Linked DNA regions of Tribolium castaneum. The main gene of each other region encodes a partner of the protein of the gene in region 3 in a complex. Links are inferred from orthologs where the notes say so. Each region holds a gene or a part of one and is shown on either strand. Other genes may lie near its edges. The genes, in order: TfIIFalpha, Mms19, Xpd, Polr2J, Ciao1, TfIIA-L and Mat1.

Region 1 (4,461 bases), on a different chromosome or scaffold from region 3:
CAAGGCACCTAATTTGACATAATCGTTAAAAAATAACTTCATCATTTCCTCAATCTTACATGGACACCAATAAAGATGTTTAATACAGTGGAGCGTAAGTCACTATTACATTTTGAAAATGTTTCGTTTTAATTCAGTGGAAATTAAAATTAAAAACTAATTAAAAATATTTTAATCATTTTCTCTGAGAAATACGCTTGAATAACTGTGATTCTTTCTAAATTCTCGAAAACTGATTCCGTTTTGCGGTTAAAATATCTTTGAATTTCGAAAAAGATCTTTCTACATCACAACTGGTTACAGGAGTAAATAAAAAGTTTGGTGCTAATGCAAAATATGTCGAAGGTGGTACATTATTCGCTATTTGTTTTAAAACTAGAAAATCGGGATTTCTAGTAACAACTGCGTCAATTTTTGCATTAAATTTATCTTGTAATGACCATTCTACAGATTTTAACTCTATCAACGTAGACTCAAATTTCTCAACTGTAATGGATAATTTAAAATTTTACGTTTCTAGAAATTTGATCGTAGTTGGAATATTTCAAAAATTATTTTCAATAAAATTAAGTTGAGAAACTAAATTTGTGGTTAAAACTAAAGTTTTACATTATTTAATGCTTTGTGCATCGTCGTTTAAAGCAATAAACAAATGATTTTAATTGATTAAAATTTTTAGAAATTTGCTTCTAACCAAGTACCACAGCGTGTAACTACAATTGTTGATTCGTCAGAAACGTTACGATTTGTATATTTTTTTAAAAAGGACTTTAAAGAAGGATTATTTAGTTATCTACAAAATGTGCTCGAGGTGAAATCGCAGCGTATTTCCCTTTGAAACGTGGTGTGGTTGAAAACATTTCAAGGGCTAAAAATGGTAAATAATTAAAAAAATATTAATGTCACACCAAAGAATACTTTGAAATGAATTACAATTTTACAATTTAGTTTTACTGGGTCACTTATATGCTTTTTAAATAAGTACATGAGATAAAAATGTTCTTTTGACTTTTTAGATATTATTAAAATTAACTGAGAGTTAGGGCGGTTAAAAGTAAAGGTATAATATTAATAGATAAGTGACATTAATTATTTTTTAATTATTTACGAATTACGATTTTTAGCTCTCGAAATGTTGTCAAAGGCGATGAACACGCTTCAGAGGGAAATACGCTTCGGTTTCACCTCAGGCGCATTTTGCAGTAATTTTAAATTGCAATAACTTGGTGAGTCTTACAGATAACGAAATGATTCTTGCACCAAAAATTGATTTCAAGTATTAGCTTTATTTCGTCTCGATTATGTGGGAGTCTATCTTTTAAATTAAAAAACTTTCTCGCATCTCGAAAATTTCACTACACAATTATGCAACGTTACAAGAAAATGTATTTTTTTTTTGGTTTCCCTTTATCAAAACTCTACCTTGTTAAACTACGTATAAATCTGCATTTATTGAAAATTTGTTTGCAAAAAAACGGAGTTTCTAGCTTTATCCAGAAGGAAGATGTGAGTATGTAAACGCAAAATGTGTCCAAGTTTAGGTGTTTGCAAATTTTTAGCTAAAACGTCTTTTCAGCCCCTTCGCGAGGGTTGAAACAAAAAATTCTTTGTCTAAACATTTTTTAATACTCTTTCCTAACTTATATCAACAATGTAAGCTGTTCCACAACATTTCGATTTAAAGGTTTATCTGACTGCAAGCGCGCGCCCATGCACTAACCTTCGCCCATAAAATTTCCTCACACTGGTTATTACAGCTAAACTAATGATTAAAAAAAACGTTAATAACATTATTAAATTCTCTGTAAAAAATGTTTAAAAATCAATAAATCATAAATACTTGTTGGGCAATATATTTTTCACAGTTTCAATTGAAAATCCAAAATTTTTTCATAGCCTACTATAAAGAAAAAGCGGAATGTTATATTTTTTTAAATATTTAAAAATAATGTGTTACACAAATAGATATATCAAATCAGAGAAAAATAGTATTTTCAAAAATATCACAGCCGCCTATGATTCCTATTTAAAAAAATAAAACTTTATGTTATTGCAGCTAAACTAAAAGTTAAAATAAACTGCTGATAACATTAAATTCTCTGTAAAAAAGTGTCAGTATAATATCTTTGTTTCAAATGTGTATCTTTTATAATAACGAAGATATGAATTTTTTTAAGATTTTGCTAAAATGACAACTTTTGTGTATTAGTTTTTTGTTTGTTTCATTTGAAAACTAATTAGGTTAAACGTAGATAAATAAATTAAAAAAATAATAAAAACAATACTAATTTTCGGACAATGGGTTTATCGAAGGCGACCATGAATTTGACGTATCTTTGACATTTGTTAATCTTGACATGACATGACATCTTGACGTTTGTTAATAAATTTTAGATACTTTTTATTATGCAATTTGTTGGGCTGTTATCAGTGATCATTTAAGTGCGTTATGTTATGTATTACTTTGGTTGTTCTTCTTCGACGCTTTTGTACTCTTTCAAATTATTCTCCCTTTCCATTTTGACCTGCGTCCACTTGGCAAAATCCACTTCAAGATTTCCATTAAATCTCATTACATGGTATCGCTTCTGGACGTTTTTCGGTACTTTGATTGTATACTCCTTAACACCGGCTGGGGCCTGTGATTGCTTCTGCTTGAACAGAATAAAATTAATTTGTGAAAACTTAAAACTGTTATTTTATACGTACAGAGGCGGCTGAACTTGTCGCCATTTTAACCAAATTACAATTAATTGCAAAATTTATTAGTTAAATTAAACTCAAATTAAAAAATAGACCTATTTAGAAAACAGCTGTCAAACAAGTTCGTTTAGAGGTTAGGTCACCATGTCGGTAACACAGGTGCCATACTTAGGGCAGATACTTTCTAACGTGACAAAAACCGTGGAGTCAGTTGTATTTTTTTTATTGTTTTCTAATTTTTATTAACAAACAGAAACATTTATTACAATATAAAATTCCATAAAAACCGGGAAGCTTTTAATTTAAAAAAAAATGTACAACTAACTTTAATTCCAAAAAAAATCGACAGAAATTCTAGTAATTTCAAAAAATCAACCAAAAACTTCGAAATATCAATAATTTGTATAAACTCCAAATTAATTCCTGTAATTTTCATAATTCCCTAGTGGGTAATTCCTGAAATTACAAATAGTCCTAAGGAATTCAAATAATCTCGAATAATTCCAAAAAACTCCAGTCATTCACAAATTATTCCAAAAGTCCGCAAATAATTCCAGCAATTTCATAAATTCCAAAAATAATTTTAATAATACAAAATACTTCCAAAAACTTTAAAGCAATTCGGATGAAATTGATAATCCGATATTGCTCTATTATTTTATAAAAAATATCCACAGGAAATACATGATGAAATGTAGGTATGACTAAGATCGTAAACATTTTAAGGTTTTGTGTAAAATAATAATCCCAAAACTCAAACTGATTAGATATTTTCTATATTTAATAATTTTTGTCAATTTCCTTTTTATTACTTCACTAAATAAGTAGGTATTAGCTGTTTCAAAACTGTAAAAACACCAACGTCGCATTTTACCGAATAATTTTTTTTAATAAGGTTGATAAAATTGTAAAATAATAATTAATCATCGAAATAATTGTTAATCATCGAAAATATAAATTACATTAGCTATTATTTTTTTGAAGTGCATGAAAATTTTATTAGAGCTACACTTATTACTCTTATTAACATCTCATAGATCTATCTCTTACAGTTTTTGAAATAATCGCAAAAAAACAGAATTCTAACTCAATAGTTTCATTTTTAGTCGAAAAAACTTCCAAACATACAATAAAATTGTGCCATTGATTAAAAGAAAAGTTAGATTTGTTCACCATTTTTACTCAAGAAGTTCAAAATTCGATGGCAGACTGACTGCGTTACTTGTGGCACTTTTTTTATTCTTTCATATCATTTAATTGTCTGTCACATGATTATTTTGCATTTTCGTTACTTTCTTCTTAAAAATTAGAAATTGCAGAGTTAATTACGAACTTTTTGTCACATTTACATCAAAAACTGTTTTCTGAGACGGAATTTAACCCTGTTTCTATGTTTTCGTATCTACATATTCATCTTGGATTTAACATTAATGATATTTTTTCAAAATAAATTAAACACTGAACCCAACTTTTTTTACTAAAATTCCTCCGAATGACTTTTGTGCCAACGTTAAAACTATTTTTTTCTACAGCCGTCAAAAAATCGTGACATTTATGCATGGTTACCTATGCGCGAAGTTTGACGTTTTTTCACTGTGAAAAAATATTATTTTTTCACGGTTTCACAGTGAAAAAATAATATTTTTTAACTGTGCAGGCAACTCGATTTTTCAGATCATTTTGTTCCAACTTATTTCTGTTACAATTTTAGTAACACGAAAAGACATCAACAGCAACCGAAATGAAGAGACGGATCGA
Region 2 (4,194 bases), on a different chromosome or scaffold from region 3:
TCGCACTTTCTGAAACAAAAATTAGCAAAAAAACCTGTTTTATTTTAACTAATTACCATAGATTTATCATAAGTTGCTAATTTGAGAAATCTTGCCAAAAAAATCCCCAAATTTTCCTCAATAACTTGTTCCTTAGTTGTGATAAAATCGCGAATTAATCGCAAAATTACAATGAGAATCTCATGATTGGTGGTGTGGTCAAGACACGAAATAATTAATTTCGAAATCTACAAAATTAAATTAATTGGTTAAATTCAATTTGAAATTATTACTTTTCTAAATTGGACTAAAACGGCCGGTTTTGGTGCGAACTCTAGTAAATATCCAAGGCCTGATAAATACGAATTCTTGTCTGGACTGTAATTCGCACTTAATTTATTCGTAACTATCGTAAAAAACTTCTGCTGGTACAAAAATCTACAAGTTATTTAATTAAAATTATTTAAGTGCTAAATTATCAACTTACGCAACATTGCAATGACTTTTGGTACTTAAAGACTCCGAATTGGACATAATTGTGCGAAAACACGGAGCTATACTTTCATCTTTATCCAAATAATCGATTAACTAAGGCGGAAAATTAATTAATTAACGACTGAGCTAACGCAATTAATTGCCTACTTTTGTGGTCCAGAATGTGCCTAATTCGTGATTACGCATAATTAAGGCCTTGGTGAGCCATGACGTAAGAATGGGGTCGGTTTTAGTGTCAACCCGTTCCAAAAATTCCCTAATTACATCATCTACAATTAATTGTAATAATTAATTAAAACACGGAATTAAATTACCATTGGGACATTTGTTCAAAATATTTGCAACCAGTTCTATAGCTGCGTTACGTCTCAAATTATCCCTCTCCCTAATTATAAATTCAATTAATTCGCTTAAAATTTCGTAATTAATTACAACATCGCGCCTTAAACAAGTCAAGATCCCGCTTAGTAAAAAAATATCCTCAATCTTAATTCGACTTAATTCGTTTCGAATCATTTCATTTTGTTTTTCGCTCGACATTCGACCAATCACAATTTTCAAAACAAATGCAATCGTTTCGTGACACGTATCACCAGTCAAAGCCATCTCGATCAACACATGGGTGATATTTTGTGCGTTTAAAACGTCAAAAATCGCGTCACAATCGTCAAATTTGATTAAAACTTTTTGTAATGTTTTTATTGCACAATTTTTCAAAATTAAATCGATTAAATGGGCCGTGAAAAATTTTTGATTTGCCAAAGTCACACACAAGGCGTCTAGAAAACATGGAGTATAGTTTTCTGTATTACCGACCACGTGCGTAGCCACTTCGTTCGGGTAATCCCGTGCTAAAGCTTCAAGACATTGTAAGACAGCGCCTTCTTGTGGCACTTGTAACAACTTGACGTAGTTTTGGTAAAGTAAAAGTCGGATTTTTTCGGGTAGTTTCGGCGAAATGTCACGTAAACAATCAAAAGCGATTGGTGAGTCAGATTTTACAAGTAAAACCGGTACTTCCCCGAGATTTTCTAAATCGCTGGCAAGTGCATACAAGTCGGTTAGTAGGCGCAAAAATGGTGTTTTTTCAGCCGTTGTGTTGGCTATATTATACATGTTTGTTAATATGGGGACGGTTTCACGCGCTACGAGGTTGGCAACGCTGTCCGATGCGTTGGCAACACTGATTATCAAACGTGCCGACGGTTGGAATAATTTTGAGTCGGGTAAAAAATTTCCTTTGATTGTATCGCAGATATCTTTGACCGTTTCTGTCAAATTTGGGTCACGTGTGTGCTTAATAACAGCTGTCATTGTTGTTAAACAGGCTTTTTCAATTGCTGGATTTGTCGTTTGGAACAGTTCTTTTTGTATGAGTGGCCATACTGTGGTTGGTGAAATATCAAAAGTAACAAATGATAGTTCCTACAAGTTTGGTGTTTAGTCTGCGGTCCGCTACAAAAAAAACCACTTACAATAAGTCGTAACGAATCCAATTTAGCAATTTCAAGCGAAGAATCGAATTTTTCTAACGCTAATTGAAGGGAGAATTCGGCAAATTGTGGAACGGCAACGAGGCAAAAGGCGAGCTTTTCAGCGAGGGTATTTCGAGTTATGCCCTGTAAAAAATTATTATTGATTGTCGTTTAATGGGGACAAAGTGGGCACGTTTTCGTCCTGTGGCGGAGCCCTAAAATCAACAGGGAAATAACACGCCAGGATTTCGAAAGCGTCCTCAGCCAGGTGCCCCAATTTGACTTTTCGTAAAAATTTCGGAAACCAATCAAAGAGAAAAATCAGGTTTTTGGGGCTGCGTTCGCCATCAACCGCCGAAATAACACCGTAGACAAAGTCGGGCCCCATTTCATCCAATTCTGGAAAAAAGACTGATATTGAATTTTAAAAGGGGGCCCAAACCTGGCCAAAATTTCTCCAAACAAGTCTCGAAAATTTGATAAATTGCTAATCTGTCGTTTTCTTGTTGTTGTTGGCACGAGACATTGTGGAAGAGTTGGACGAGAAAAGGGCCAGGGCCCCCTTTCGGGGCCCCCTCGCACCGAATTAAGGCGAGAAAACCGCGCAAAACGGCCGGTAACACCTAAAATCGCCCTCAGTTAAAAAACAGTAGCCCCTGGACTGACATACAAAATGATTGTCCTTAAGCCGGTCCGTGTAAAACTGATTTAAAAATTTTAATTGATTTTCGTCCAAAACATCGGGGGGCAAAGTCTCGACGACACGTGTCAACACCCACATGCCCAGCTCGCGCCCCTTGGGGCTCGTATCGATAAGGAGCCCCCCTAGGTCCTCGACAAGGCGTAACAAGGTCACTTGACCCGATTCAAGTGCTGAAAGTTGAGGTTATGTCACAATGTGGGGCCACTTGTACGTACCTTGGGCCAATTCGTGGCATTTTTCGGCAAATTCTTGGTCATCTATTGTAACATTTTCGAAATTTTTGGCCAAATTCGAAGCCATCATAACCAAACTTTTTGACAGATGATAATTGACCACGCATGCCCCAAATAACCTACTATAACCTTCATTTTCAAATTTCAAAAAATTACGCATTTAATTGCAGATTAAATTAATGACGCATTTAATTGCAGATTAAGTTAATGACGCTTCTGTAAACCGACCCTTAAACTTCCGTATAGCGCGGGTTTTATTTTTAATTTTTAAATAAAACACAGGACCGTACTTAGATTTTTATTGACTCAGTATTGCTCGCCCATAAGTAATACAACCAGGGCCGTCCAGCCCGTAAAAGGCCTACAGCCACTCCCCTCCCCCGTTTCGTCATTATACTGTTCCCACAGATAACCCGTTTTGAAATATTGCGTCATCACGTTTTTAATCACATTTTCCCGCAAATCTTTATAAATCGCGTTGGCTTTATCCCGATAGGGCCCCTCCGTATTGGCGTAGAAATACAAGGACCGGACTGCTAGAAAATTGATATTTATCCAAATTTGGCCCCTCCAATATGGCGGATCATGTTCGGTGTTGCGTTTCATATACAGGGGTGAATTTTTGGACAGTGATCTTAGACCAAACTTCGTCCATAACAAGTCAGGATTTCGAAGGTCATCCAAAATCTGGCCCAATTTCAACGAATCCGAATCAATCATTTGTAACAAAAACGGAAACAAACTGACGTAACCGAAAGTCGAGTCGACCAATCGGTATTCGGGATTTTTCAAGGTCACACGCACCATCTCCATGTTTTGGTTTTGTGACCTTGGTAACGGTTTCGGTCGTTTTAATTTAACAGAATCAGTGTGGTAACCATAATCGGCGTAACGCGATGCGTAATTAGACCAATGTAAATTATCCAATAGGAAATTGTCTTTCAAATAATCGGCAGTTTGTTCGTATTTATACCCATCACGGTCCAACAGTGTTGCCAACCTTGCTAAAGTATCACTAGCTATGGCGATCCAACAGTATAGATCGACGTGGTATTCGGCTTCGGTCGGATGTGACGCTCGTGGATAATCGTCAAGGCCCGAAGTTAAAGTTTTCGGATTCAGCTCACGATTGGTTGTTGCGTCACGCCCCCTCCACCGGTACATGCCAGGCCCCGCCCCTTTTTGCGTGGTATTAAACCATGCAAACCACGCCTGTAACCTTGGATACAACCGTTCCAGTGTTGCCAAACGTCCCTCGCTCAACTTATCGTAATATTTACGCAAAATGTATTGCAACGTGAGGAAGAAA
Region 3 (4,266 bases):
AACAAGGCCTGGCCAACGTCATAGTGAACGAAGACATGATCACAGGATGGAAGTTCAAAATCTTGGGGTACATATCTAGAGGGGATAGGGTTCCAGAGGTTATAACCACGGTTTGAAACCGATCAAAAACCGGTTTTATGGCAATCGACGAATCCAAACAACTGAAATGTAAGATCGGGTTTGACACCGTCGGTGTCTTATCATCAAACGGTTCTACGATTATCGTAAAACCTTTCGTATAAGTGGCCACCAAAGTGGCCAAATGTGTGACTAAAATGACCGGACTGAAGTCGGTCAAGTCTGATATTTCCAAAGTTCTCAACAGAGATGCCAAGCGTTCAGCACAGAAACGTAACGGTTTTCGTTCAATACAGACTTTGGATTGGACGTCTTTTAAAAATCCAGCAGGGCTTTCTTGCACCACGTGCTGGACTCGCAGCCGAGTTTTGAGGTATTCGAGGAAACGTTTCAGGAAACTGACAAAGTGCTCGGCGTTGCGAATATTTCCAGGGACGGCCTCTGAAAATTAATAAATTACGCAATTTAATTTTTTTTCGAATTACTGACATAATAAATAACAATCAGCCCAAAAAATTAATTCGGAAATGGCAATATTTTTGCCTCTGTCTAGCATTTAAGTGCATTTTTGAGCTACAAAATTCTTCTCAAAGCATTACTAAACCAGGCGGACAAATCACAAAATATCATCGAAAATGCGATTATTTTTGCATTTTCCGAGCATTTTGTATGGTTGTTTTAGCCTGAAGTTCAATGATTTCGAATAATGCCCTCAAAAATAAGACAAAAAATAAGCAAATAAGTTTACTTTTGAGAGATTTCAGCAGAAAAAAGATTCTTATTTAATCGAAAATGACATTATTTTTTGCTTTTTTCATGTGTTTTTATTTAGAAACAGTTATTTCGTTGAAGATTGTTTCGTTGAAAAATATTCGACTGAATTAGGTCAACCAAATTTGGCTTTACCGAGTGTTTACCAGGTTTATGAGAAAAAAACAAGGTTTTCCTCCAAAAAAATTCGTTGAAAAAAGGATGAAAATCCAGGAAAATATATCGCAATTGATGCTACCTATTTTATTTATTTATTGTCAGGTCAGGTCAGGTCAGATCTGTTTAGTTTTTTAACTTTGTTAAACATGTTTAAAAATTATACACAAATCGAAAATTATACTATTGAGTTTGTTTCATTCGAATGACCTCGTTTTCGAGTGAAATTTTGCTAAAAATAAGTTAAAAATTATCAAACTTTGAAAACAGTGTTATTTTTTAAATTCTCAAGCTGTTAAGTACAAAGTTTTTTGGCTAAAAATCACTAAATTTCTTCATTTTTGTCAACGCATTAAGCTGTGTCTATATCACTCAGTGTTGCCAACTTAATTTCAACGTCACGGAATATATAAATCTAATTCGGGTATTACCCTGGAGGATGGCGTCGGGCAAGACCGGATTGGCCAAAATGACGTCAGTGTCTCGCGCCACGCTAGCGTCGCGCAGCCCCTCAACTAATCTCTGATATTCTTCTTGCAATTTTTTGTGATCGTCTTCACGCATCCTAAAAAATTTTAAAAAATCCAGAGAAAACTTAAACTTCCGGGGATTTACTCGGCCACAGTACGTTCCAATAACTGGATGTTGGCGGAAGCTCGATCGATAATTCGTTTGTTGATTTTCACACTCATTGAGTCGATGCAAACATTATCGATATTGTGAGCCTCATCGAAAATAACAACTGACTCTCGTGTCAGCTCTTTGGAGACGACTTCGGCGATCTTGGGGTCTAGTAAATAGTGGTAACTGTAGACTACGATATTCGCGTAACTTATCTAGGAAAAAGGGTCAGAAGTGCAATGTAAAGTGTGACCTCAAGTACCACAAAACGAGACAGGAAATAGGGGCACCAGTTGCGGTCCCGTCCGTACTGTTTCAAATCATCTATACTGTAAACCCCAAACGGCATCGTACTTTCTTTGCCATCCAAAGCGAAACCTTCGTAATACTGACAAATGGGAGTTGTATCATCGTAATTGTGCCTCTCCCTTATGTAACTCGCCGTTAGTGCGTGGCATTTTCCGTCCACAATCTTACCCTCGCGCTCAGTACTCACCTGAAATTTGCAAAATCAAGCCCGGTTATGCACCCCCAAATCACCTACTTCCGGGTGAATACATAGATTCTTCCGTGAGGACAAAACCAGCCCCAGGAGATGGGGGTACTCCCCGTCCAACTTCTCATAATACTCGAGCAGTTTTTTCAATTCTTCCATAACTTTCTCGATTTCGGGGACAGTACGAGAGCAGTAGATCAACTTGCGGACGTCATGGGGGTGCTCGAGCATGTATGCAACAACGAGGGAGAGAATGGTGGTGGTCTTACCCGTCCCTGAGGGCATTTCCAAAAGGCAGTGGCCCTAAAATTAACATAAAAAAGGGGCTGTGAAAGGCGGGGAGCGTACTTTGGCGTCCAGGGCCCGCTTGAGCTCGCACATGTAGGCATACTGCTCGGGGTAGATGTAGTCATAGGGGAAGTACACGATTAAGCCATCGACGTTTAGTCTAAAATTTTCGGTTTTGAGGCAACTCAAGTGCCAATAGTCGGGTTCTTACTTCATTTTTTGTATGGTGCTGGGTGAAACCGTGGTGTTTACATTGACCCGGTAGTTTTTTTAGGTTATGGCATGTTTGGAAAAAAGTGCGGTTATGCAATTTTTTGTAATATTTTCTAACAATAGGAACGTTTCTATTGCTGCTAATCGATTAGTAAGGAAGAAGGGGGCCTAAAAATTTAAGTCCTGTGAGCTGGAACCACGTATTCTATCAGTTATTCAAAGATTCTATAATAAGTAGGGTTATGTAATGTATTCAAGTATTCAAGAAGAAAACACCTTTTTATTTGGAAAATATTTATTAAAAACTTTATTGAATAAATTAATGGTTTTGTACAACACAAAATCAATCACACTTTGTCTTTCACGATAATTTTATCACCATTTTGCATTGAGTAAACTCCGATTTCTTTCATTTCATCCTCTAGAAGAATCTCGATTTCTGGATCGCTCTTGCTGGCGTAAATCAAGTGGGGCCTTCCACTCAAGCTGAACATTTTCTGTGTGAGGACTATAAGTTTTTGCACAGTCATTGTGAGAGGCACTTTCTTTTCTACCGTAAAGTCCTCAAAAACTATACTTAATTGGACCAACGTATTTTTAATAATTTTCGGTTTTGAGACAAGTTCACTCTCTTCCAGCTCGCCATATTCTGCAAAAATAACCGTAAAAACGTAACAAAAAAAATATAAACAGACTTTGTATCAATTCCAAATATCTGTTGTGGGTTTTGAGAAAATCAGCCTCTTTGTTGGTACCCTTGGCGTCCAACCATTCAAGACCGTACTTTTTCATGTAGTCGTATTCAGCCCCCCGTCTCTCAGTGGCTTCAATCTCAACCCCATTTAAAATTTTCAAGTTGGCAATTTTTGCGATTATTATTTGATGGATAGTGTCAGGTTCTTCCGATTCTGTGATGGGGTTTTTGGAAAATCGCAGATTTTCTAAACTTTCAAGCCGATTTAACTCAGCCACAGAACGCCACTAAAATCAATCCTCTCATGAACGGAAACGAACAAAGTTTCAGTCTTACCTCACGGATCAAGTTTTTCACAACACATAATTTTTTCATCGCTCTGAAAGCTTGTACTTTGGGGGAATCACCCTCAAACTCAATCAACTGGAGCCCAATATTCTCCAGAATAAGTTGCTCCAAGTGCGGTAAATCCCCCAATTTGCAGACCTCCGTCCAAAACTCAATGTTATTCCCTTCAAGATCGAGCAACTTTAATTTGGTGAAAAACCCCTCAGGTGTGCTAAGCCCCCGGATTTTGTTATTCGGAGCTCTGAACTCTTCAACTGACGGGAAAATGCGTCCAAGTTGGCAAATGTGCCCCCAGTCCAAGTCCATACACCCACAAATCAGAGTTGTCACGTTTGGAAAACTCTCACTAATCGTTGGCAAGTCCAGCAAATTCTCACTAACATTCAGCCAAAAAAGCCTCGGCAACTGGCGGCAAATCTCAAAAACGCTCTCCCAAGACACTAGCAAATTTTTCGAAATGTCCAACTCTTCAATATTCGGACACGTTTCTCCGAGTCGTAGCGGCGGACCCGCCGAATTAATCCCTTGGTCACGCAAATTGACGATTCTCAACGACGTGAAGTCGCTCTGTTTGTGGAAAACCTTGTCAAAGCCGACCATT
Region 4 (2,952 bases), on a different chromosome or scaffold from region 3:
TGCCAGGAGGATCAGACATTTTAGAACATATTCTGTTATTAATAATTTATTTAGCAAATTAATAAATATCTTGTAAAAATTTCTAGTTAATATTTATTTGACACAAATTAGTTGTTTTGTAAGTTATCCGTTGATGAGGTTAATTGTAAATAAAGGATTGTGAATTAAATAAAAATATATTTTTCTGTTAATAACAGTTACATGCTCGTTTCTTTCTTCAACCACTATAATTATAATTAAGTCAGAAAAAATTTCTGGAAAGGTAAACAAAAATGAAATTGTTCTTAAATACCTAAATGACATAACGGTGCAGTCAGAATTATTTTCAAAATTTAGCCAAAAATCATCCAAGTTTTAAAGTATTTTTGAGGTTTTTTTTTTAATTGAAAACTCACTTTCGATATACAGGCTAATTTTTAAATAGACCGATAAAATTTTATTACTCATGGTGGAGCTCGCAAAACGGACAGCCTGTGTACACGGATCACTGAGGTTTTACTGTATTTACGTAAGTGCTTTAAAGCACAGACTTTGCCACCTTTTAATAAATCTTAAATAGCTTATTTTGAATAAAAATTGAAAACGAATTATTAACCATCATAAATAAACAAGTCATTTTAAACTTTTGACGCTGGGACGCAAGACATATTTTTGGGTACATAACAAAGACTGATTTATCGAAGCATAAACTTTATTATTAGTGAATAAATTCAAATACTTAATCTAAACCTTCTTTCTTTTCCTTGATCGCTTCCTTAAAACGTTCTTCAAACAAAGACAACTCTGAAATCAAATCTGTGATAGAATTCATCAAAGCTTCTTGAGGCGAATAATCAGATGTTGTTTGAATTCTCAACACAAATTTATGCTCAAGTGGATGAGGCACCTTGTATCCAGCAAACAAAACGTTCGGATCTTTTAACAATTGGCTAAAAAATCAAAAATAATTCAACCTAAACCTTAATGTTTTGTTACACACTTTCTGATCATGTTTCCCAACGTGTGGTCTTCTTTGTTTATGGTAAAAATAGCCGCGTTTGGCACTTTTGTGTCTTGTTCCCTTATTATCCTAAAAACACAATTTGTAAAAATAAATTTTTGGTCCAGAGAATTTGCCCACTCACTTTTTCTCTCCATCATAGAGCAAAAATGACTCGAAGGTTGGTGGCGCATTCATCCTGAATGGAAATACTGTTCACTGAGCTTTTTAAACCGCTTATTAATTTTTAACAACTTTTTATTAGTGCGTCACTTTTTTGTGGGTTATGTCACCTGTCCTGTCATCTGTCAAAAACCAAATATCGGAATTTTTTATTTTTCTGTTTAAAAACTTATCGAACGTCTAATAGGGTATTACAAATGCCGCCAAAATGAAAATTGTAGCCCTATTGTGGGTTCGATAATGGAAAATAAAATTAGGGTGCTTCCCGACTAGTGTTCAGTTGGTCCACCAGGGGGCGCGTTATTTGGCTATCTTTTCTGGGAATAAATTCGTTTTAAAAACCAAAAAAGCCTCAAATTTGGAAAAATCCACGTGAAAACGTTACTAACGAGTCTACAATTAGTTGGAGTTTGAAAAAATTGGTAATAAGTGTGAATAATAACGATCTGATATCAGCTGATAAATATTAGGGATCGGCTCCTCTCTGCTTCAGTCTGTGGCTTCAGTGTGCGTGAGTTTGTCATCGAGGAAGGTAGTTTAGGAGGTTTCGCTAAAAATGGCGGAAGCCACAGGTGTATCAAGTGTAAATCCGAATGCAGAAGTTGTAAGGGGTCAGGTATTTGAGGTGGGCCCCCGTTACACGAACTTATCATACATTGGAGAAGGCGCATACGGAATGGTCGTGTGAGTAAATTTTCCTTATCATTAGTCGCTGTGGTTTTCTAACTTACACGCCCTAAAATTGCGGATATTGTTCCAGTTTCAGTAACTCGATCATTTTTTAGTTTTACCGGTTTTGTACAAAAAGAAAAATGTTCATAAAGTTGGCGGTGGCTTGTCAAATGGTTTTTTCATTAGAGGTTGAGGTTATGTATACATAACTTCCTGTCATTAGTTTGGAAGAAATCGATGTTTTAGGACGGTAGCCTGGAGACAAGTGATTTATTTAAAGTTTTTGGCTGATTTCGGGCTTTTCCGAAATTGATTCATTGGCTCCGAGTTTCATACATGAAACAATTTGCTATTTTTAACTAACAAAACATTTAAAAACGTCAAATTATTTTATTTTTAGAAGACAACACCGACTACTTTTCGGTAATTTTAGCCTAATTGTTAGAATAAATTGGTATGATTATTATTTTGTGACTTTTTTCTTATTTTCTGTTTTTTAGTTTTATTGTTTTTGCATATTATGCTAAAATGAAATAATTTATTCATTAATTGTTGACAGTAGCACTTATTTGGTATATCAACTAACTTTTTTTATTAATAATTAATATTGTATTATTACTACTATATATTATACTTATTATAGATCCTACATTTAAAAAACATTGAAGTTATCTACGCTTACAAATTTTTAAAAAAATTGTTGGGTACCTTATTAAATACAGTGTGTATCACACAATTTTAAGAGACCTGTTTTTAAAGTGCTCATCCAAATACCATGCGATTTACTAAACTTTTGATCTAGTTATTCATGACAGTTAACGTTATTACGTTAACCCGATGTCCATTACGGAAGAAGGTTCCAACCTGGATTCCAACATAATTTTTTTGTTCTTTGCTGAACATTTTGGACATAGTGACAGATAAAGCAATGCTGAAGATATTTACGCAATTCGTTTCTGCTGGCGAAACTCATGGTAACTAGATCAAAATTTAAAAAAATCGTATTGTACAAGGTGTATACAAATAGTAATCTCACGGAAATCAGCGTTTGGTATTAAATACTTTATTTTTTCTCTATGTATGTGAATTTTTTCAGAATTTTTCTATAATTTCGTATA
Region 5 (3,448 bases), on a different chromosome or scaffold from region 3:
TGGTTTGATTGGCGCAATGTTTTTAAAAGCGAACGCTGAGGCTAGCCAATCATTAACGCCCCCTTCGACACAATCCCAGCTCGTATGGGGCGAGTAAACCGCAATTTCATGTCTAATACATTGGATTACGATTCGTTCTTTCCAAGTCCTGTGACAAAACGATTAGTTTTGATTGGCTGTGTAATTTGGGGCGTACTTGTCAGAGACTGTTTTAAGGCCTTGAAAGATATTAGGGTGATAGGAGATAATGAGCCCCGCTTGGAAGTTTTTAGCTTCATTGACCACATCCTCAGTGAGGTCGTTTGTTAATAGAATTGTTTTGACCTGTTTGTCGGTCATTGGGTCCACCAGGAGCCCCACATTGTCCCAGCTCTCGGCAAGGGTCAAGGGGGCGTAGGATTGTAAAGTTTTGACGATTTCTTTGACCGACATTTGGGGGCCCGTGCTGTAGTAATTTTTAATCCGACTTAGGGCCGCCAACCGTCTTATTAACATCTGTGGAACGAAAAAGTAATCTCAATGGATGGGCGACAGTAGGCTGTGACGTTCAATTGTAAACAATTGACATAAACAGCCGCCTATCCATCAAAGAAAAACAAAGGAACGTCAAACAATTTTATTCAGGGATAAATTTCCACAATTTAATTTCCCCGTCGTCGCTGCACGACACTAAAATATCACTAAGAAGGGGGTTCCAGGCGACGCAGTTGACATCCTGGGCGTGCGCCCTCTCAATGCAGGTGACTTGGCTAAACGTGGGGGCCTCTAAGTCGCCCCCTTCCTCCTCTTTAAAAATTCTGATAGCGTCGTCACCGCAAGCGGTGGCGATCAAGTCACTTGAGTGGTTCCAAGACACGTCATAGATGGTTCTGTTGTGGTACCCCGACATGGTACACACACATTTCCACGTTTCCTCCGTATTTTGGCCCTTTTGCCAGATTTTCAACGTGGCGTCGTCGCTACACGACACAATCCTTGTCCCCGTTTTGTCCCAACTTATGCTCCAAACCGTTGACTCGTGCCCCTGTAAGGTGGCAAAACAAACCCAGTCGTTGTCTGACTGGTCCTCTTTGAACAACTTAACCGTGTTGTCGTAGGAGGCCGAGGCGAGGATATCGTCATGTGGGTGCCACACGACCTGCAACAACCTCCATAACAACAAAAATCGCCCCCTTGCTACCTACTTTCTTCACATCCTGTGTGTGCGCACTCAACACGGCCGCGCAATCATACTCATCCTCCTCGGCAATCTCCCAAATCCAAACCGACTTGTCACGGCTACAAGTGGCCAAAAATCGCCCCGACTTCGACCAGGAAACACTCTTAACCTCATTTTCGTGCCCCTCAAGAGTGGCATTGCACTCGAACTCGCCCGATTTCTTGTCCCAAATGCACGTAGTGGTGTCAAAGGAGGCCGAGGCGAGGTAATTGCCACAGGGGGACCACGCAATTTCCCGAATTGTGCGTTTGTGGCCATCGGTTAGAATTACTTTATTCGACCACTTCGAGTCCGAGTCTTTCGACCAGATTCGGATGGTCTTGTCTTCGCCACACGAGGCGAACGTTTGCCCCTTCGGGTGCCAACTCACGTCCCAAACGCGCCCCGTGTGCTTGCATAAAGTTTGAAGGGGCTCAAGCTTTGACATTTTGGGGTTAGGGTCGCGAACAACGACAGGGTGGTTAAAAAGTGGTCTCGGGGGACGCACGACGTGCCAAAAGGGGGCAAATGTACTTAAGGGGCTTACCAATGCCACAAAACGTGAAAAAATGGGTGATTTTATTACGTTTTTGCTTCGTTGAGTTGGCCGCACTGTCATTCAATGCAGCCAACGCATGATTATTATTGCGTTTTTTTGCAATTATTTACCAATAAAATTGCGTACTTAAGTGCAAAATCAATTATGTTTCTTCTAAATTAATTGTTCGCTTAATTTTGAATTTTTTTTTCGTGGTTGAATGTGCGATTTTTGTTTTTTTTTGCCGTCGGTGTGGCCAGCCTCATTTGACGTTTACATTTTTTGTGCCGTGAATCACAATCAACTTTGTTTATCAAAACAATCGGTTTTGTGGGTGTTTTGGGGCCTCTTGGCACTGTTGGGTTGATCGGACTCGCCCCCGCCCCCACAACCCATCATTACGATGAACCATGTTACAGTTTTGGAGGAAATCAAAAGGTGCGTAATTTCGTAATTGATGTTTGGGTTTTCCTAATTAGTGTTTCCAAAGCCGGCAATGACACGAAATGCGCAGCCCCAGCGGTGACGCCGCGGCCCCGGCCCCCGAAGCCGCCCCCTCTGGACCTCGATATCGGTGAGTACGAAATTGTAGAAATTGGGGTTATTGTGTCTTAAAGATGAGTTTGAGGCAACGAGGTCACGGCTATGTCGGACCTTGGACGAGGTTTTGGGCGATAAGGGGGCTCTGGGCTACTTTACCCAGTTTATGGAGGCGCGAAACGCCGCCAAATTTATCAATTGTTGGGGGGACATTGAGTCGTTTAAGTGTGAGATAAGTACGGATTGCGACTCCAGTGACACCCAAAATTCGAGTGATTCGTGTGAATCTAGTCTAGTTGAGGGCGCTGTTGCGATTTTTAAAAAGTACATAGCTCAGGAGTCCGCTCACAATGTTAAATGCCCCGAGTCAGTTCGTAACGAACTCGTTGAAAACATTTGTGACTTGGAGAAAATCGCCAGTTGTTTGGACCCCGTTCAGAGTTTCGTTACCGAAGTCATGGAGAAGGAGTATTTTGAGGCGTTTTTAGCCAGCGATTATTTCTGCAAATACCAGATCGATGTTTTGACGAGTGGCCAAGTGGCCCTTGACGATATTCTCTACAACGAAACGGCGCTTTTCTACTTTATGGAGTTTCTCGAACAGGAGAATTCGTGCAATTTGTTGGAGTTCTGGATCGCTGCCACCAACTTGCAGCAACATTTGACCAATCAAAAGGAGTTTTTTGACCCAATTGAGGCCCAAAATGACGCTGTTGTGCTCTACGATAAGTATTTTTCGCTGCAAGCCCATTGTCCGTTGGGTTTCGGCGATAAAGTTCGCTTCGAAATCGAACAAAATATTTGCGGGGAGAACGGACTTGTCTTGGATTGTTTCAAGTTGCCCTTGAAAATCGTCGAACAAGTGTTGGAGAAAAACTATCTCAAACCGTTTTTGGAGTCACAGTTATTTTGCAAATATCTGTCCGAGTTGATAAACACCGTTCAGTCTAACGATTATTTTAATCTCGAGAATAATCGGACGCTTTCGTCCGATTGCAGCAGCGAGAAGAGTTTCAGTACAAATAGCGCATTTCTAGCGTTAGAGTTAAACTTTAATAATAATAATTGTAAAAAGAAGGATAAAAACGCAGATATGAGTATCGACACGAGGCAGTTGTGCGACCCCGATTCGCTCTGGAAGAGGAGACGAACGCACAGATTATCCTGTGGGA
Region 6 (3,753 bases), on a different chromosome or scaffold from region 3:
GAACTGTTTTGATCCACCCCTATGCAAAATGATCCGGGGAATCGATTGGCATCGAGAAAATTGCCATATTCCCAATAGTTTTTTAGTTATGAATTTTTTAAAATTTTACCAATTTTTGCATTTAGCAGCAAATTGCTCGAAAACTATTAGTCGGAGAACAATAATCTTTTTTGAAAAAGATAGATAATTTAAAGAGCTTTCCAACGATAATACACTTCATGGGGTTATCTCTAATAGTTCCGGAGCTATTGCTCGAGAAATGTTCCGGGTACCCAAAACCGACAAAAACTGCGACGAAAATTGAAAAAATCAAACATCAAAAAATCGAACATTTGGACTTTTTGTGGACTTTTAACAACTTTTGTGAGTTGTTAAGACATGTAGAAGTCCATAAAAATTTGCTGGAGTTAGTTTAAAAAAAATTTTTTTTCACCTCTTTGAAGGTAAGTAAGTGTATAACTCAGGAAATTTGAGCAAAAAAATTGAAAATTTTAAATTGCGTGAAAAATTAGTATAATAGAGAAAAAAAGGCGCTGAATCCAATGGAACGAACCGCACTGCTCTACGACTTTTAGTTTTCGAATTATGAATTTTTTTGTTGAATATAATTTTCCATTATAGGCATTGCTCTACGATTTTTAGTTTTTGAGTTATGATTTTTTTTCAAAAGAGCTGCTAATTTGCGATTTTTGTCATCTTCCAGGTGTTAGAAAAACGACCAATGGTGTAACTTCAAAAATAGTTTTATTCACAAACGGCTATCGATAATTGATAATACATAGTAAAAATTTCGATTAAATCTAAACGCCTATTATTAGTTACATTTATAATGGATAACACAATTCTACAACTCAGGCTATTCTCCCATTTTACATACAAAAGTTCAATAACTTAAGTCGGAACCCAACGTTCCCTTGAATAAGTGACGGGTTTTGCGTGCAAGTGACTTGAAAATAATAAAAAAAAAACAAAACTTCTTAAAAAACACTAATTACCATTCCGCATCACCGTTAGCCTTTTGGAAGACATAATCTTGTCCACTCAAGTTCATTATCCCATCTTTCAAATAAAATTTCCACTTATTCCTATTTCTTATGATTTTATCGTACTGACAAACAACGATGTTATCAGTATCGAACAAATCAGTTGGGTCGTCATCAGTCACATCGTCTTCGGAGTTCAGGGGCTCTTCTTCACCACCTTCTTCCTCCATTTCTTGATCCTCTTCGTCCTTATCGTCATCGATATCCTCGTCGTCGTTATCGTCGTCAGACCCGTCCTCATCGTCGTCGGACGTGTCCACGGGGCCGTCCACCTGGGGCACCTTCTTCCTAGGCAAAATAAACTCGATTTCGATTTGTTCCTCCTCCTCCTCCTCGGCGTGGCTTCCGTCCGTCTGGGCGATGTTTCGGTTGACAATGGTCACGATCTGCTGCTGCTGGCTGTTAAAAACACGTTATCTCATAACAAAAAACTACAATTATTACAAGCTTTTTTATTTATTCCGAAGAGAACATTATTAAAAATCCGATAAAATTTTAAACAATAATTAGAAAATTTTTAAAACAATTATTGACAAAAATATCTGCATAAGTGTGCACAAAACATGTATTTTTCTTTGTACAGGGTGACCCGAAAACATTTTGCGTGGACGATTTAAGTTAAAAGGGGGCTAACTGACTACCTGTTAAACACCGCGTTGACGTGCTGCTGGAGCACCGAAGACGCAATATTGGCGGGCAAATTCATCATCCCCGTGATGATCTGCCCCGTGAGCACCTTCTGGAGCTGGTTCCCCTGGAGCGCCGTGGCGGGGACCTGTATCGTGAGTATCCTGGGGCCCTGGTCGCTGCCGGGCTGCGCCGGGAGCGTGATCTGGATGGGGACCATCTTCGTCTCGGCGATCTGCCCCACGGGGGCTGCCGCCGGCTGCGCCACATGCTGCTTGGGGAAGCCGTTGGTGGCGGTCATCTCCGCCTTCTTCGCCTTCTCCTCCTCGCTCTGCACCGCCTTGCTGGCCTTGAGCTTGGTCTCCCAGGTCTGCTTCAGCTCCTGGAGGACCTGCTCGTCGACGCCGTCCTCCAGGAAGATCTCGCGGACGCCGCTGATCACGTCGTCGATCACCTCCTGGTAGATGCGGAGCACCGAAGTCTTGCACAGGGAGTTCGACATGGCCTTGGGGGCGCACCACACTACGTTAAGCTGATTATGAACGGTTTCCGAGAGTGGAAACGGGCGATAATGGCATTTTTACGCGCACATATGCACTTTTGAGGTTAGGGAAATCAGATGGCCGACATTTTGATGGAAAATGAAGGCGAGAGATGAGGAAAATTTTGGGGTAACGGCAGGACGCGATCGGGGATAGTGCGCAAGCGCCGGAATGAAGAGTTTTTATCAATTCTTATCACAAAAAATTACTACCACGACAAAAAAGTCGTATGGTGATTAGTGAGTCGTGGGGTTTTTATGGGTACAAAAAAGAGATTTAAGCAATAAGAAAATAGTAAAAAAGTGGTGTATTGTGGGTTGACTAAAGCACAAAATGGCTGCCCGAATTATTTTACCGCGAAATACAAAAATTAAGTTAATTTACGATATAGCAGAATTTAGCAAAAAAAATCAAAATTTTTAATCTCGTAAAAAAAGCTGGTATAACAAAGAAAATGAAACAAACCGCATTGCCCAACGACTTTTACTTTTTGGGTTATGATTTTTTTTAGTGTAAAACTTTAATTGCCTCTGTAACCGGAACCGTTGCCCGGAGCAGCTCCGGGTTTGGACGAAAAAATAGATAATTTTAAGCGCCATCCGTTTTTTTAGTTTGATTCTCTAAGTCTTAGAGTTTCCGAGAAAAACGCAAATAAAGTTTCCATCTTCGCTTTTTTTCCATTTTCAACTGCCGATTACGGCGAAATTATTAGAGTTATCTAAAAACGGAAGAATTGTAGAAAAGCGCAATAAAAACTCTACAAAATGGCATAGGACTCAAAGCGATATCTCGCAAAAAGTTTTATAATTTTCAATCGCCGATTACGGCCAAACTAAAAGAGCTAGGAAAAAACTCTTTTTTCCATCGTAAAGAGCACATCAAAATCTATAAGAAAGGATAAGTGTTATTTGATTCTGAGACACTTTTAAAAATGGCCATTTTGGAGGGGAGGGAGGTCTTAATTTATTTTTAATTTTTATTATATTCTCAATTACGACTAAACTATTCGAAAAAGGGGAACTGTTTTGATCTTTACCTATGCAAAATGATCCAGGGAATCGATTGGCGTCGAGAAAATTGCCAAATTCCCACTAGTTTTTTGGTTACGAATTTTTTAAAATTTTACCAATTTTTGCATTTATCTGCAATTTTCTCGAAAACTATTAGTCGGAGAGCAAAGATCTTTTTTGAAAAAGATAGACAATTAAAAGAGCTTTCCAACGATAATACACTTCATGGGGTTATCTCTAATAGTTCCGGAGCTATTGCTCGAGAAATGTTCCGGGTACCCAAAACCGACAAAAACTGCGACGAAAATTGAAAAAATCAAATATTAAAAAATCGAACATAAGGATTTTTTTTGAACTTTTAACAACCCTAGAGGGTTGTAAAGGCACATATAAGTACGAAAAACTATGATAGAACACATTAAAAAAATTTTTTTTTCACTTTCTTGAAGGCAAGTGTTAATACTCATTAAATTTTAGCAAAAAAATTCAAAATTTTAAATCTCGTGAAAAGTTGGTATAATACAGAAAATG
Region 7 (4,524 bases), on a different chromosome or scaffold from region 3:
TTGAAAAAGGAAATTAAAATGTCTAAGGTAACGGACAGGCCCAACAGTTATCAGACGTACAAATTGGTTATTGTGGGTGGAGGTGGTGTCGGAAAGTCCGCAATAACTTTGCAATTTATCCAGGTAATTATGCAAACACCGTCAATTTTGCATGTTTTCCGTTGTTGAAAAGGGCTGGTTTCATTAATCTAGCGTATGAAAATCGTCAGGTGTTATTGTCCCTAATTACATTTTCCTTTATATGGAGTGAAGTGTGTTTAACCTTGTAATTTATCCTACACTTTTGTGACAAGTTTCAAAACGAAATTCCAGAGCTACTTCGTTACCGACTACGACCCCACCATTGAGGACTCTTACACCAAACAATGTGTCATCGACGATATCCCCGCAAAACTAGACAGTAAGTAGCGCCCCAATGTTTACTCCCAAGCCCCAAAATAGCCCAAGGCTAACCCGCCAAAATTGCAGTTTTGGACACCGCCGGTCAGGAGGAATTCAGCGCCATGCGGGAACAATACATGAGATCGGGTGAAGGCTTCTTGCTCGTCTTTTCAGTAACAGAAAGGTCCAGCTTCGAGGAAGTGTACAAATTCCACAAACAGATCCTTAGAGTGAAGGACCGCGACGAGTTCCCCATGCTGATGGTGGGAAACAAGGTAATTCCTTGACCCTAATCTATTTTCCGTCCTTTGTAAACAGTTCCGTTTAGGTGGATCTGGAGCACCAGCGAGTCGTTTGGCAAGAGGAGGCGCAGCAGCTGGCCAGACAATTAAAAATCCCGTACATTGAATGCAGTGCCAAAATGAGGATGAATGTGGATAATGCCTTCTACGAACTGGTCCGCGTTGTGCGAAAATTCCAGTTATCGGAAAGACCGCCTCTAAAGACCGGCTACATGAAAAGGAACAAGAAAAAATGCTGCATGCTGTGAACGCGCACGCTAGACGCTTATTTTTATGTACACATCACTAAGGTTTTATGATATTTAAACGTAATTACGCTGTTAGGACATATCTGCACGGTCTTGTGTTCTTCTACAGATAAACAGGGGGACATTTGGCGTTTTCCCAGTGAAGTTTCCCAATCAAAATCCTTTTTACACTAATCAAAACTCCAGTGACCACACCCTTAGTGCGTATTGAATTTTCGTTGACCCCTTGTTTGTCTGATTTTAGCCGTCAAGCTCTATAAATATTGTATATAATATGTAGCTATAAAGAGAGGCAGACTTATATGAATATGACTCAAGCTTTTTTTGTATATAAGTTATTGTCTACCAAATAGAGAGTGAAAAACACCAATTTTATTTTTATATAAATTATATTTTTCTAGGCTACTAGTAGCTAGAATAGTTTTATGGATTCTTTGAGACAAATAAGATTGCCTGATTGTTCATTTAGAGATCTCGATAAAATTATTTCAACCGAAATAATTTTCAGTACATCACGTGAGATGATATTTACATTATGTAATTCCCATGAACACTGCCATTTGATGTTTTAATAGGCAGAATTGATTTAACAGAGTGTCAATTACATCTAATAAGCGAGTTACTAATGATATTTAGTTAGGCGGTAATAGACTTGACTCATATTTTTACACTAAACAAACGTTTGGTTTATTTCAAACTTACCAAAATAGCCCCCTTATTGATTGCTTAGTTTAACAGGTTTATCGCAAGTACAATTAGATGTAATCAACGGTGCTATTTATCGCGGGCACACTTTCTAGTTATAAATTTTAGATTTGTGTGTTCTATTTTAACAAAATAAATGTTTTAATGTACAAAAAATATCTTTATTCTCCAACACGTCAATAAATTAATGCACCGGCGCTTTCCTTACATGATACAGCCCCGAGAAGGCATCTTGCAGAGCCCTAACACACGCAATATTGGACCTGAAACCGCCAGCTCTCTCTTGCTCGTTTTCTGCCCGTACATGGTTCGTGTACCCCATACTGGCGATTTCTTCATCTGTTGGCAATTTGGGGCCATCGGTTTGCAAAACCAAAGGTTTATAAACAAATAAGGGGCCCTCTTCGATGGGAACAGGCAAAAATGAGCTTTGTGTCTGCCGCCCAATTTGAATCCCTGTTGAAAAGTGCGTCTTTTTGGCAGGCGCCGCCTTAGCCTCCTCCTCTTTGGCCTCCTTGGCTTGTTGGGCAAACGTTTCGACAATGTTTTTAGCATTTTCACTCGAAAACATCAACTCATCAATTAGCGCTTCCTTCTCCCGAATCTTCTTCTTCTTACTTTCAGTTTCCTCAATAATTATCTCCTGCTTACGCATCTCTTGCTGCTGTTTCTCCAACTCTAAGAGTTCCTCCAGCTCGTACTCTTCTCTCCCCAGTTTGCCTTTATTTTTCATTATTTGTTCGCGATTGTCGCGTTTGTATTGCTCAATCTTTTTGTTCGTGTTAACCACGTCGATGTTATTCGTCAGGTTGTAAATGATCGTCTCGACTTCCTCCAAATAATCGTTGAACTCAGCCAGCGAATTAAAATCCTCCTCTTTTTTGTTGAAATCGCGCAAGACGCGTTTGCGAATATCCACCTCTTTTTCAACTGAGGCATCCTCGAATAACTGGACGCGGAAGTTGTTGCGCCGGAGTGGAATGCGGCACTCGGGACAGCTCCCGGAGCCTTTGAGGAACAGCAAGTCCACGCAGCTTTCGCACAGCCCGTGGCCGCACACGTTTACCATCATTTTGAGTGATGGGTTTTGGAACTTTGAGGTCTTGCATCGCGGGCACGTAAAGTCCTCCATCGTGCAAGGAAAAGGGGGCAACTTTTTCGCACATCAACAGGAGCACATAACCTTACTTGCCGGCTGTCACACACATTGCTGTTACCACGTTATTTAATATTCGGAAGTAAAATTACCGTTGGGGGCGCCACTGAGCTAGGTCGAAAACAGTAACCATAAATGGCGGGAAAATGTTTATTCGGATATTTTGAGCGTTGTACGAATTTTGGGGCTTCACAATTATTACATTGCCTATGCGGAATGATTATTGCATCTTTGATGCAAGAAACTTATGTTGACAAATGTGAGATGACGAGGAAAACACGAATAACGAATGACTGTTTGGTTCACTTTCTTTATTGGAAAATTATTACAAAGACATTGAAAAGCCTACCTTTTGGCATAATTTACGTTTAAATGTATCAGCAGTTGTTAATCTTTATTGTAGTTTTGTAGATTTACCGCAGCATTTCATGATTTTTTCAGTGGAAAATTCTAACCTAAAATTCATAACACTTCACTAATTTATTGGTTTCTTGAGCCAAACTTTGTGTTCGCTGTGATCCATTACTTATAATCTTTAATTAAACAACTGCTTGATAACACTTTGTAATCAAAATTTAAATATTTTTCACTTTTTATCCACTTTCAAGTTCCAACAATAAACACTTTATACCACGAAAAACTACAGAACCAAAGTCAACGCTAGCATTTACCACCACGTACTTTTAAAGTAATTCTTTCTATTGTAAGTAATTAACACTATACACGCAAATTCATTAAATGTCAGTTAAATGTGGCATTACGAAAATTTCTTTACTGTTTTCGACATAGTTCAAAAGTCATCACCAGAGGGCGTGTAGTTAATTTTATTTCCGAATTGAAATTGCTTATAAGCAGAATTTGAGGCAAATAAGTATCAAAACAAATACAATAGCAAATACGAAGCCTAAGCAATGTTTTTCTTGATAAATTGAACCTTCAGCAGTTTTTATAATAGTTCAAATGCTCCGTGGCAGTAGATCAACCGTTTAAGCTGCGGGAAATGAGGCGCGAAAAATTGTAATTTGAAACCCAGTTTTAAATTATTACTATAAAAGCTTTATTTACACTGACTGTGCACACAAAAATAAAAACACTATAACAGTTTTTTTGAAACTGTAAGTTTTTATAATTATATAATAAAATTATATGATTTTATTAAAAAAATCTTTTTTTAATTTATTCTTCCCTCCTAAGGCTTAAGCACAGATTATATGGAGTTTACTCAAGTAAACAGACTTGTTGCAATATTTTGTGATGAATTAAAATGCTTATATCAAGTACAATAATTATTAAGAAGTTCTGCTTGAAAAAAAATATGATATTGAAGGTCAGAAAACAAAAACAAAAGCTATTTATATCTAATATTCCCTGGGAATAAATCAAATGAAATCATCTTTCGTAAAGTATTCTGCTTTTAACGTTCATGTGTACCAAAATTTTTAATTTACTAAAGACAAGAAATTGTGTCACTTAAATAAAAAAACACAAATTGAGAGTTTCTATATTAAACTAAATCCCAGCGACAAATTTTTTGAGCCAAGAAAACCCACCAAAAACTCTCAATTTGTGCTCCATTTCATTACAAAAAATGCAAATGAGTTGTTGCAAAACTCCACTATGAACTGAAATGGGACAATATGTAAGTTTTTTGATTTACGTTTCTAGACGATTGAACAAATAAGTAGGTACATAATTATACTATTCTTATTAACCTTTGATCTGTCTGATTGTT

The links.
Region 1: Xpd (region 3) and TfIIFalpha share a complex: the UniProt entries of both Homo sapiens proteins name them as parts of the TBP-based Pol II pre-initiation complex. The link is inferred for Tribolium castaneum from reciprocal best matches to the Homo sapiens genes ERCC2 and GTF2F1.
Region 2: Xpd (region 3) and Mms19 share a complex: the UniProt entries of both Homo sapiens proteins name them as parts of the MMXD complex. The link is inferred for Tribolium castaneum from reciprocal best matches to the Homo sapiens genes ERCC2 and MMS19.
Region 4: Xpd (region 3) and Polr2J share a complex: the UniProt entries of both Homo sapiens proteins name them as parts of the TBP-based Pol II pre-initiation complex. The link is inferred for Tribolium castaneum from reciprocal best matches to the Homo sapiens genes ERCC2 and POLR2J.
Region 5: Xpd (region 3) and Ciao1 share a complex: the UniProt entries of both Homo sapiens proteins name them as parts of the MMXD complex. The link is inferred for Tribolium castaneum from reciprocal best matches to the Homo sapiens genes ERCC2 and CIAO1.
Region 6: Xpd (region 3) and TfIIA-L share a complex: the UniProt entries of both Homo sapiens proteins name them as parts of the TBP-based Pol II pre-initiation complex. The link is inferred for Tribolium castaneum from reciprocal best matches to the Homo sapiens genes ERCC2 and GTF2A1.
Region 7: the proteins of Xpd (region 3) and Mat1 are in contact, whole or in part, in a crystal structure (PDB 6TUN), measured with the Homo sapiens proteins. The link is inferred for Tribolium castaneum from reciprocal best matches to the Homo sapiens genes ERCC2 and MNAT1. Residues at the interface, in NP_000391.1 of Homo sapiens: Lys274, Tyr285, Ala318, Val319, Pro320, Gly321, Ser322, Arg324, Thr325, Glu327, His328, Arg334, Arg335, Glu338, Gln363, Arg364, Val365, Cys366, Gln368, Lys370; in NP_002422.1 of Homo sapiens: Val68, Glu71, Val72, Arg75, Lys76, Leu79, Arg85, Glu86, Leu92, Tyr95, Asn96, Asp97, Leu99, Glu100, Glu103, Glu104, Phe107.

What each region holds. Positions count from the first base shown.
Region 1 is NC_087400.1:9,146,991-9,151,451, reverse strand, and holds the start of TfIIFalpha (general transcription factor IIF subunit 1), read right to left. Parts: upstream 2,864-4,461; 5' UTR 2,734-2,863; coding exon 2,710-2,733; intron 2,655-2,709; coding exon 2,464-2,654; intron 1-2,463. UniProt on the Homo sapiens protein: TFIIF is a general transcription initiation factor that binds to RNA polymerase II and helps to recruit it to the initiation complex in collaboration with TFIIB. It promotes transcription elongation.
Region 2 is NC_087400.1:4,137,245-4,141,438, forward strand, and holds the start of Mms19 (MMS19 nucleotide excision repair protein homolog), read right to left. Parts: upstream 3,025-4,194; 5' UTR 2,956-3,024; coding exon 2,868-2,955; intron 2,823-2,867; coding exon 2,620-2,822; intron 2,573-2,619; coding exon 2,392-2,572; intron 2,349-2,391; coding exon 2,143-2,348; intron 2,094-2,142; coding exon 1,950-2,093; intron 1,900-1,949; coding exon 789-1,899; intron 744-788; coding exon 622-743; intron 568-621; coding exon 467-567; intron 418-466; coding exon 273-417; intron 228-272; coding exon 57-227; intron 10-56; coding exon 1-9. Other genes in the region: GCS1 (mannosyl-oligosaccharide glucosidase), read right to left, coding at 3,192-4,194. UniProt on the Homo sapiens protein: Key component of the cytosolic iron-sulfur protein assembly (CIA) complex, a multiprotein complex that mediates the incorporation of iron-sulfur cluster into apoproteins specifically involved in DNA metabolism and genomic integrity.
Region 3 is NC_087394.1:27,625,735-27,630,000, reverse strand, and holds the start of Xpd (general transcription and DNA repair factor IIH helicase subunit XPD), read right to left. Parts: upstream 2,806-4,266; 5' UTR 2,627-2,805; coding exon 2,622-2,626; intron 2,571-2,621; coding exon 2,471-2,570; intron 2,426-2,470; coding exon 2,171-2,425; intron 2,123-2,170; coding exon 1,889-2,122; intron 1,842-1,888; coding exon 1,621-1,841; intron 1,571-1,620; coding exon 1,437-1,570; intron 520-1,436; coding exon 1-519. Other genes in the region: Tbce (tubulin-specific chaperone E), read right to left, coding at 2,971-3,272, 3,319-3,604, 3,654-4,266. UniProt on the Homo sapiens protein: ATP-dependent 5'-3' DNA helicase. Component of the general transcription and DNA repair factor IIH (TFIIH) core complex, not absolutely essential for minimal transcription in vitro.
Region 4 is NC_087395.1:21,130,836-21,133,787, reverse strand, and holds Polr2J (DNA-directed RNA polymerase II subunit RPB11), read right to left. Parts: upstream 1,421-2,952; 5' UTR 1,178-1,420; coding exon 1,125-1,177; intron 1,070-1,124; coding exon 980-1,069; intron 930-979; coding exon 719-929; 3' UTR 674-718; downstream 1-673. Other genes in the region: uncharacterized protein CLIP-190, read left to right, coding at 1-24; mitogen-activated protein kinase 1, read left to right, coding at 1,719-1,846. UniProt on the Homo sapiens protein: Core component of RNA polymerase II (Pol II), a DNA-dependent RNA polymerase which synthesizes mRNA precursors and many functional non-coding RNAs using the four ribonucleoside triphosphates as substrates.
Region 5 is NC_087395.1:25,661,344-25,664,791, forward strand, and holds Ciao1 (probable cytosolic iron-sulfur protein assembly protein Ciao1), read right to left. Parts: upstream 1,964-3,448; 5' UTR 1,818-1,963; coding exon 1,185-1,817; intron 1,139-1,184; coding exon 617-1,138; 3' UTR 603-616; downstream 1-602. Other genes in the region: pkaap (A-kinase anchor protein 10, mitochondrial), read left to right, coding at 2,147-2,174, 2,227-2,310, 2,354-3,448. UniProt on the Homo sapiens protein: Key component of the cytosolic iron-sulfur protein assembly (CIA) complex, a multiprotein complex that mediates the incorporation of iron-sulfur cluster into extramitochondrial Fe/S proteins.
Region 6 is NC_087395.1:25,200,802-25,204,554, forward strand, and holds TfIIA-L (transcription initiation factor IIA subunit 1), read right to left. Parts: upstream 2,382-3,753; 5' UTR 2,173-2,381; coding exon 1,685-2,172; intron 1,443-1,684; coding exon 992-1,442; 3' UTR 728-991; downstream 1-727. UniProt on the Homo sapiens protein: TFIIA is a component of the transcription machinery of RNA polymerase II and plays an important role in transcriptional activation. TFIIA in a complex with TBP mediates transcriptional activity.
Region 7 is NC_087396.1:14,732,145-14,736,668, reverse strand, and holds the start of Mat1 (CDK-activating kinase assembly factor MAT1), read right to left. Parts: upstream 2,887-4,524; 5' UTR 2,769-2,886; coding exon 1,821-2,768; 3' UTR 932-1,820; coding exon of another isoform or gene 710-931; 3' UTR 657-709; coding exon of another isoform or gene 469-656; 3' UTR 401-468; coding exon of another isoform or gene 313-400; 3' UTR 124-312; coding exon of another isoform or gene 19-123; 3' UTR 1-18. Other genes in the region: Ras64B (ras-like protein 2), read left to right, coding at 19-123, 313-400, 469-656, 710-931.